2 linked regions of the Caenorhabditis elegans genome follow. The protein of the gene in region 2 purifies or fractionates together with the protein of the main gene of each other region. This does not show direct contact. Each region holds a gene or a part of one and is shown on either strand. Other genes may lie near its edges. The genes, in order: ttr-48 and idhg-1.

The links.
Region 1: the proteins of idhg-1 (region 2) and ttr-48 fractionate together in Caenorhabditis elegans (co-fractionation; one large-scale study listed by BioGRID). This does not show direct contact.

Annotation. Positions count from the first base shown.
Region 1 is NC_003284.9:3,840,084-3,844,468, reverse strand, and holds ttr-48 (Transthyretin-like family protein), read left to right. Parts: upstream 1-2,020; 5' UTR 2,021-2,021; coding exon 2,022-2,113; intron 2,114-2,158; coding exon 2,159-2,256; intron 2,257-2,300; coding exon 2,301-2,373; intron 2,374-3,204; coding exon 3,205-3,286; intron 3,287-3,335; coding exon 3,336-3,485; 3' UTR 3,486-3,600; downstream 3,601-4,385. Other genes in the region: Homeobox protein ceh-18, read left to right, coding at 1-31, 76-142, 192-250.
Region 2 is NC_003281.10:4,566,792-4,572,433, forward strand, and holds idhg-1 (Isocitrate dehydrogenase [NAD] subunit, mitochondrial), read left to right. Parts: upstream 1-2,221; 5' UTR 2,222-2,232; coding exon 2,233-2,358; intron 2,359-2,400; coding exon 2,401-2,613; intron 2,614-2,662; coding exon 2,663-2,791; intron 2,792-2,842; coding exon 2,843-2,947; intron 2,948-2,992; coding exon 2,993-3,205; intron 3,206-3,281; coding exon 3,282-3,425; intron 3,426-3,470; coding exon 3,471-3,659; intron 3,660-4,272; coding exon 4,273-4,344; 3' UTR 4,345-5,074; downstream 5,075-5,642. Other genes in the region: mlcd-1 (Malonyl-CoA decarboxylase, mitochondrial), read right to left, coding at 1-122, 172-327, 374-549, 595-821, 870-992, 1,041-1,175, 1,225-1,326; Serine/threonine-protein kinase sel-5, read right to left, coding at 5,325-5,416.

The sequences.
Region 1 (4,385 bases), on a different chromosome or scaffold from region 2:
TGTTAGTCCTGTCTTCCCGCATTTTTCATCTGTAAGTCAATTGAATTTTACTATTTTACTCATTATGTATTTCAGATGAGTGCGCTGGAGCAAATTCAAGAAGCCGCTAGGTTAGCTTCTTGTCAAGCCAGCAATGATGACAGTGAGTTGAAAATTTCATCAAGCTCACATATAAAATTAATTGTCTACAGGTGACGGAACATCCGGAAGCCCAGATGCACCATCCAATGACGGCTGCTCGGATCTATAAACTCCAGTTCACTTGTTCACTCTCAAGTTCACTCTCTGTCCACATTTTCCTTATTCATTACCTCAACATTTTGCGTCATTACGGTAATCAAGAGCGTTCAAAGCAGTTCAAGCAGTTTTTTTTTCAAATCTCTGCATTCTTTCTTCAAAATTCAAGCATAACATTTTCGATTGCACACATAATTTCTCATTTTCCCCCCATTCCGGTTGACTGTTCTATTGCCCGGTTTCTCGTCTGATAGCAGTATGTTGCATTTACAACTCTTTTATTCGCTTTTCAAATACCATATGCTCAGGTTTTTTGTCCCGCTGTTTCTTTTTTCTTTCTGATTCGCACGTTTGATTTCTCGGATCCCGTAGAACTTTCTAGCCTAATAAAATTATTTTTTTTTGATGTGCTCCACACAATTGAGCAGCTTCTCAGATGCGGTTAGTAACTCGATTTTCATGGTCTTTTCTGCCATTCACCCTCACCTAATTTCACAGCTTCTCTCGTTTTGACTAGTCATCAAAACGAATACACACCATTCTTTTTGTACGCTGAAAGTTCATGTTTTTCTCAGAGTGTTTTTGCCTTTTTGTGTATCTATGATAATTGTACGTTCCGGTGAGATTTCTAGGTTGTTCATCTCATTCTTTCCCGATAATTGCTTGAAACCCACCGACACACTCCGTTTGAATATTCACCTCCCCATTCTTCCTGGTGCATAGTTACGATATATTCAATTGGAACTGCTGGTTTCGATTTTTAAAACCCGGAGCTTTTCTTCTGATAGGGTCAATTTTTGTATGTAACTTTTCGAGAACAGTTTTATTTTTTCGCATAATTTTTTGATAAATATTGAACACTTTCAACATTTTCCAGAAAAATTTAATTTCAGATACAGGTATTTTTTGTGAATTTTCATCAAAATTTAAGTGGAGTCACCACAAGTTAGGTGTGGTATGGTTTTGTAAAAATTTGTTTTAAAAATAATTAAAAGTGTTGTATGTTGTATAAATGTTGTTTTTTTTTTGGAAGTCGCCTATCAAAAAATTGTTTGAATAGGTTGGCTATGACATTTGGTCATTTTTGCATCATAGCTGGCACCATGGTTTTTTAAAAATGTCGCAGCGTCTAGAAACTAATTTTTGTCGTCCAATTTTGGTTACAACATTTTGGGTATAACTCTGCGACATTGACAAGTCGGTCAAATTTCAAATTATTCTAATTTTAGGCTATTTTTTGAGCTGTAATAACTATTTTTAATAGTTTTCAAGAAGTTTCATTATGAAATTCGGTGTTTTCAGACAATTTTAAATATAATAAACAAATAAAAGAAATTCGACTACACCACCTTTAAAACTCCAAATCACGTCAATAGATGTATTTGTTCTTATTTGTGTTGAACCATATGTTGAATAATCATCAACTGATCATATAATCAATATAAATTGTTTATTTTTCTTTTGAATGAAGAGCCAAAGTGTCCTTATTGTCAATAGCTTCGCGATAAGAGTGATAAGCTAGAATAGTGTTGACCAGTGTTTGGTCTATCAAAACGGTTTAGAAACTTGATAATGAAACTGTACACTGCGACCGTTTCATTTTGATTCTTCCCAAGTGTTTTGGGAAGCGTCGAACATTTTGATCAATATCAATTGGTGTCTACGTGCATCTCTATTGAGAGGTCAGGTGTTCACTGAGCATTTTGTTTTCCGGTATCTTCTTCAATATCCTTTCTATTGATTCATGAATCGCTGAGAAATACGTTTAATTATCACATTTCAGCATGATTTTCATATTTATCGCCGCTCTTCTTTTACCAATTTCATACGTTTCTGCTGGAGCGGATCTTGATGTCCCAACTAACATTGCCAACAGGTAAATTTAATTTTCAATTTTGTAAAAATCAATTTATATTTTTAGAACCATGGCAGTCAAAGGACAACTGTATTGTGGAAAGAAGCCTTTCGAAGGAGCCAAGATCCGACTTTTCAGAACATTTCAACCAAATGCAGCAGATGGTAAGTAAGGTATCAAGTTTTGAGCAAGACCATAATCATGTCAGATCTCGCCGAGCTACTCGACGTAAAGAACACATACATTACGGGAATGTTCCAAGTTGAAGGAGGTACCGCGAGGTTTGTTATTTTTTGCTGAGAAAAGGTTATTTAAAAAGTCAAAAGTTTTCTATTCATGTCTTGCTTATCAATAGTGCCAATAGTGCGTGCATTCGAAATGAAGTGAAGTATGTCAGAATTATCTTGTGCTGAAAACATTATGAGAAGGAAGTTTTACACATTGTTGTAGTGGCATAAATTGGAGAACAGTTTGAAAATACAAGTTCTGAAAGGTGGAGCACGGTCAATGAAAAATAATGGAAACGCATTCATATGACCAAAAACTGACCGAATATCTAAATGAAGTTTTTCAAAAGTTTTGGAATATTTTTTCTAAATAAGCGTAAACTGAGGTTTTACAACTTTTTGACTCGAAATAAATAATTTTCCGAAGTTATTAAAAAACATTTTTTAGCTCCAGAACAATAATGTTTAATCGTTTTCACACTCGCTATTTTTCACCATTACATCGACTGGTTTTAGTATCTTATATAGAAAAAGCAATTCAGACGAACAATTCTAACAATTACAAACTTTTATTTCACTGAATGAATATATTCTTACTCATTTTTTGGGGTCCTTAGAATCTTATCAAAAGTTAAGAGGTTTTTGGGTTTAGAAAAACATTCGGGAAGCTCCTCGATACTTCAAATCTCTACACAAAATATAGAAATTGTGATTCTCATCAAAATTGGAGAGATTTAAGGAAACCAAAGATTTTCAGCAATTTTCGGGACCTCGAAAATAGTGCTAAGTTCAACTGCAACATTTCAGAAATAGCTGATAGCAATTGCCTTGTTTTAAAACCTGGAATTAAGATTAAAATTTTGTTTTTATAAGTTTAACTTTCAGATTCCCACGTACCAAAACCGATATCCAGCCATATGTCACAATTCATCACAACTGCGGAATGGACAATAAGCAAACATCCAATGTAAGTCAAAGACCAGCACTTACGAAACAAAAATCAATTATTTTTATAGTACGGCTACAAACGAATTGGTGTCCGTCTTCCAGAAGATTACGTAACACTCGGAATCAAAGCAAGAAAGGTGTATGACTTTGGAATTCTCAATTTGGAGTTGGAGTTTCCACAAGAGACCCATGATTTGAAGTTCAAATTCACCGATTAAATTTAACTTTTCTTTCACAATTTTTTTCTTCATTATATTTCACATCAAATATTTTGAATTTTATTTAGAAGTTGTTCCCCATGAATGCAATCAGTAAAATTTCTCTTCTCATTTCAAAGCGCTCGCACTCATTTTGTTTTTGTTGTTTGGCACTGGCTGTTGTTCTGTTTTGGAAAACGGATACATCACGCATATCAGATCAGAAAATATGGAGGAAAAGGACGTGGTGTTGAGAAAAATAAAACCACCCAGGTGAGAAAGAGAAGAATCTCACGAAACTTTTCTCATTTGATCTTTGTTCACCGGAGGACAAGCCTTGAAACTGTTCATTTTATGAGAGCTGTTATTGCACGAACCGAAAGAGGGCGGTTTTTGAAAACTGACAATATGGACAGTAAAACTTTTCAGTATTGTTGTGTTCTGTGTTCCGCCGTTTTCGACAACAATTTCCAGTAAGTTTCAATGTTTTGCCGAATTTTCTCTGTATGGAATTTTTATGATACATAATGAATTTTCAAAATGGGGTTGAGCCATTTTTTTAGATAAATAACTGAAACTTTCATACTGTCCAAAAAATTATTATTTTTTGTACACTGAAAAATTTATGCAATACAGTTAGTTTGTGATGCACGCATAGTGGCTTAGAAAGCACACGCGAGCTCAATGATCAATTTTTTGCTAGTCGAAGTGTGTCCCTATGCTGCGAGGTTTATAAGGATATTGAAAACTAACTGACATATCTAGAAAAAACGCCAATTTACAACTCCTTCACAAGATTGTGAAGCAAAATGTTCTAATTTCTTTAAATTTCCCACTCTGAACGCTTCTCAAAAGATAAATCGAATTTTTTGTACTTTGCGAAGCTGTGGCAACTTGCTGGCTTTGCTTTAAAAAACCAAT
Region 2 (5,642 bases):
CTCCTTTTTCGTTTTTTCATTGCTTATGACTTTCAGTAGAGTTTCGGTTGCTTCTACTTCGTTCATTTCCCTTTCAGATATATCAGAAATCCAATTGACAACCTTTTCATTCATAATTGAAGCTGAAAAAACATTGAAAGTAACTCAATTGTCTAAAAATGTACAGCTTACGATATTCTGAATTCCCTTTCAGATTTCTGATAAGCCAAGGTCGGAAACCAGGAATCGGAGATAATGTTGAATGAGTTGTGACTGATGGAACATCTTTTTGAAGTTTAGTGGCGACTTTCTTGATGAGCATATTTCCGAGATCAATACCAGAAAGACCTGAAAACGAATAAAACATGTAATGAATACATTTCTTAAATTTTACCAGGCTGTGTAGAAGTGATTGAATAATAAATTGCAGTTGTTTGATCTTCTTCTTTTCCAGTCGGTGCTCCTCTTTTTGTGATTTCTTGTACACTATCCGCTATCTCATCAACTAATGCCACGTGAACCATCACAAGTGGGTTCCGGGGAAGAGCTTCGTGGGAAAAATAGAAACATCTGAGAAAATGAAATTTTAGTTTTTTATTTTTATTTCATAATTACCGTCTCAACGGACCAAGACGTTTTCTGAAATCTGAAAGTCCTCTAACTGGATGAACTGCCTCATATTCGGCGACTTTCTGTAGAATATCTCCAGGAGATGACCACGTAAGTCGTTCCAATTTTAGATTTCCTAAAGAAAACCATGAAGTTAATACTTCTCTAGTGGCCAGTTCAATGTGACGGAGATATGATGTTGTAGTTTTGTCAGTTTCCCGTTTTAGAAGTGCCTGAAAATAATTATATATTCGATGCTAATTTTATTTTAATTTTAATACCAAAATATTAGCCCTCATTTCACAGACTTGCATAACTCCTCCCGGTAAATTTCCAATTGATTTTATCAAATTCACATAAGAAGCTGTTGCTGATGTTCTTACTTCCGGGTACATTTGATCATTCTGAACTTTACAATTTTTGGTCATACGATGTCAATGATAATAACCAACCTTAGAATATAGAGAAATCGCATGATTTAGGGCTTCTTTGTTTACACCATAGTTTGTGACGAGATCTACGAAAATCGATTTTCGAGTTTCTGGCGTGGAATTGGCATATAATTTGGAAAACTTCTCGCTATAAGTCTGAAAAATAAAATTTTTTCAAATAATTGGAAAATATAGTTCAACTTACGAGTAACTTATCTCCACTTGTTCGATTTGTGAGTCCGTCTAAAGTAGATAATAATGTGGAAGAATATCGAATCGAGTAAAAATGTGAATATCGACGAAGCATTATTTACATCAACCTACAAAATAATTATCTATGGGGGAAAATAACAGTTTCATAGCGCGAAACATTCTCGAAACAGTCCGGGAGCATGTAAATCAGCAAAACGAACAAATAAAAAGATAATCAAGTAACAGTTAACGTTTTAAATAGTAGTTAATAAAATAATAAAGACTTTGTAACTTCAGCCAAAACTATTTCTTGGATACCGATTTCTGTATAAGAAATAGACGCTATTTTTGGAAAAAGGCGTGCCAGGTTCTACATGAAACAACTATTTCAAAGAGTTTTCAATGAAACAAACTTTAAAGAACAATCCTAAGACATTTATTTCTACACAAAAATCACTAATAGATCACCTGATAAGCGCTTGAGACAACCAACAAAACAAAACAACGAAGCAACAACAATTCGGCGGCGAAAATCAATCAAGCGCCAACTGCTGTTCGAATTCCCGGATTTCCCCGGCAGTTGGCTTGAATTGCAATCTAGACTAGAAGTAAACACAAACCAATGAACCCTCAAATAGAGAGAAAAAGCAAAAATATTTGAAATAGATAGAAATGAACGAAAATGGACAAAATAAACATAAAAGACGAAAATGAAAATGTCGCGCGGCGGAATTGCGAGAAACACGTGCGGCGCTTGCAAATCAATCGGTCGGCTCGTTCCGCCCTCTTTTTTTGTGCATATAATTTCTGAAAATTATCTGTTTAGTGATAAATCTGAGTTTTCATAATGATAATGATGATATCGGGAAGATTTAATGTTTTTTGTTAAAGTTTTGAAATATACTATACCCTTCTATTTAAAAAATTGGCTACTATTCTGACATGCACTTTTAAAAGTACATTTTTAAACTGTTGTTTTTCTAGTAAATTCCATTTTTTTAACATTTCAGGTAAAAACAAGATGTCGAGCAACGTCCTCGGTCATACACTTCGCTCTTCGAAGAATGTCGTGCAAAAGGCGTTCGTCGCGACTTCACCGAACTCCGATATGCTCCGATTCCGTTCTCCAGTTCTTCAAACTAACACAGTAAGTAATTCATTTTTATCTGCTATTAATATCAATTTTCAGACTAAGCTGGCTCGTTATGGAGGACGTCACAACGTCACAGTCTTGCCAGGAGATGGAATTGGACCAGAAATGCTCCATCATGTCGAGAGAATCCTTTCAGCAGTTCAAGCTCCAGTAGATTTCGAAGTGGTTAATTTGACCTCAAAGGAAGATGCATCTGAAGATCTTGCTGAGGCTATCACTGCTATCAAGAGAAATGGTGTTGCTTTGAAGGTATTTTTGTTGAAAGATTAAAATCAAATTTAATTTTTTTTTTTTGAAGGGAAACATTGAAACTAAGTTTGATAACCCAAGCTTCGTTTCCCGAAACTTGGAACTTCGTCGTCAACTCAATCTTTACGCAAACGTTCTTCACTGTTCCACTATTCCAACTGTTCCAAGCAGACACACTGTAAGAATTTTTTTAAATCGATTTGTACAAATTTCAAATGAAAAGCTTTAGGGAATCGATATGGTTATCATCCGTGAGAATACTGAAGGCGAGTACTCTGGAAATGAGCACGAAGCCGTTAATGCTCCACATCCTCGTGTTGTCGAATCTTTGAAGGTTGGGATTATCAACTGAGATTTAGTCCTAATTTCAAATTTAAAGGTTGTTACTCGCGAAAAATCGGAACAAATTACTCGTTTTGCATTCCAATTCGCAAAGAAATATGGAAGAAAGAAGGTTACTGCTGTTCACAAGGCCAACATTCAAAAGTTGGGAGACGGTCTTTTCCTTAAAGTAGCCACTGATATCGCCAAGGCCGAGTATCCAGATATTGAATTCAATGCTATGATTGTCGATAATGCTTCCATGCAGTTGGTGGGTTGTTTATTTATTCATCAAAATAAATGTTCTGAAAAAAGACGAATAATTAAAAATCCTTATTTATTTCCAGGTTTCACGCCCACAACAATTCGATGTTATGTTAATGCCAAATCTCTATGGAAACATCATTTCAAACATTGCTTGTGGACTCGTCGGAGGTCCAGGACTTGTTTCTGGAATGAACATTGGAGAAGATTACGCCGTCTTTGAAACAGTTAGCATATTGATGAAAATATTAAATAACATTTGTTTTTTTCAGGGAACCCGTAACACCGGAACCACTCTTGCTGGAAAAGATCTTGCCAATCCAACTGCGTTCATCCGTGCCGCCGTTGATATGCTTCGTTTCCTCGGACTTCAATCACACGCCGATATGATCTCCGATTCATTGTTCCGTACGCTTGTTGATAAGAGAATTCACACCGCTGATATTGGAGGAACTTCTAAGGTAAGAATTTCATTAATTTTCTAAAGTTGTATATATTAAATTCTTACCTTTTCTTTATTTAAAAGTAGAGTAGAGTCGTTTTGGAATTTTGCTCAAGATGATATCCATAAATGGACCGTAATTTAAAAATTTATACAATTTTTCTAATATTTTGCAAAATTAAAAAATAAGATAAGTGTTTCTGAATTTCCGCGCGAATAAGTAGAATAGTTTTTTTGCGTTTTTCGGCTGTACTGAGTGATTACTCTTAATTTTGTTTTTTTAGTATTTGGTATAAAACACACATACATTTTCCGCAAAGAAATTTATGAATTATCGAGTTTTAGGCTAATTTTTGAAATGTTTTCGAATTTATTTCGGTTTATGAAGTTTTCTTTGCGGAAAAAATATTTGAAAAATTGCCGGAAAAGGCAAAAATGTCGGAACTCACATTTTTTATTCTTGCAAAATTGGAAAAATCATAGAAAAAATGTTATAAATTTTTTTACAGTTATTATGGTCCATTTTCGATGATTTTAAGCAAAACTTCAAAACGACTTCACTTTTTAGAACATTAACTTTATAAGTACTTTTTAAAAATGCACTACAAAACTTTAATTTAATAAATTTTCAGTCATCGGAACTCGTTCAATCAGTACTCGACTTCATCGAGAAGGAGCTCGAGGACCGCAACTACCGTGTCTAATTTCTACCTGATAATCGAAAGTTTGAAACATCCCACATAGTGGCTAGCTTTACCCTTACGTTCTTTTCCTCTGTTTTTTTTTCGATTAATCCATGATTCGTAGCATAATGCGTTACTCATTGTGCTCTTTCTCTGTTTGACCCCGTTGACTGAACGTTTCCGCCTGATGTCTCTTATCTTGTTCCTTTCTTCCTCATCTCTGTACCCACAATTTTCTTTGGATTTTAATTTTTTCTGATTGTTTGAATTTTTCTCATTTCCAGTATAGTACAATATTATAAAATTGGTTTAGTGAAATTCGATACTCTGTTAATAATGTTAATATTAGGTTACTGTCACAAAGTTAAGTACTCCCCCCACCAATATGCTCTTAACCTAATTAGTCAATACTTGAGAGCTGCTTGAAAAAAGGCGGAGTTTACTACTGTAGCTACTGTATCTTTTTGAATGCTCCCTAGCTCACTTTAATATTATTCATTTTTTGCCACAACTATTCTATTCTTTATTTCACCAGACTATCTAGGAAATATTGAACTAATACAAATTTTAGTTCAATATACCGGATGGTCTGGTGAAAGCAACATGCGTTGTAAGTTCTTTTTCAAAATCAAATGTCGATCGAACATTTCAATTCGAAATAATTTATTTCGGGTCAGAAAAATTGTACTAAAACTTGCAGAAAAAAAGTTGAAAAAAGAATTAATAAATTACAGAAAATATGCATATGAAACTGGGAGATTGAGTCTATCACAACTACATGCGTGGGTGGATACCAAAATATGAAAATTACAAGGAAAGCATATTCCATATTATACATATCATAAGTACATTGGCGGGAAAATACCAAAAGAAAATAAATAATTGAGAAAATAAGTGATTCTAAATTTGACACAACGACAACTTTGGGGGGAGGGTGAATTGCAAATCACTAAAAAGAACAAATTGTGTAATATATAAAAAGAAATATGAAAAATTCCAGTTTACAAGTCGGTTGGATCATCATGATCTTCCGGTTGGAAGGATGTATTCACAAATGATGCATTTTTGCCAGTCAGTGACGATTTTTTATCTTCTGAAACAGTAAATTTTAATTTTAAATAAAACATTAGTTTTTCTATACGGAAGGGTCGTCGTAAATTATTCTGTTTAAAAAAACCAAAAATTTCAGTTTCTTTTTGAAACAAACTTTAAAATTTTGGTCAGTTTTATTTTTTTAGCGATCGGAAATTTTTTAAAAGAAAAGATCGAAACTTTATTACTTTATTTACAAACAAATATATTGAATTTCATTAGAAAAA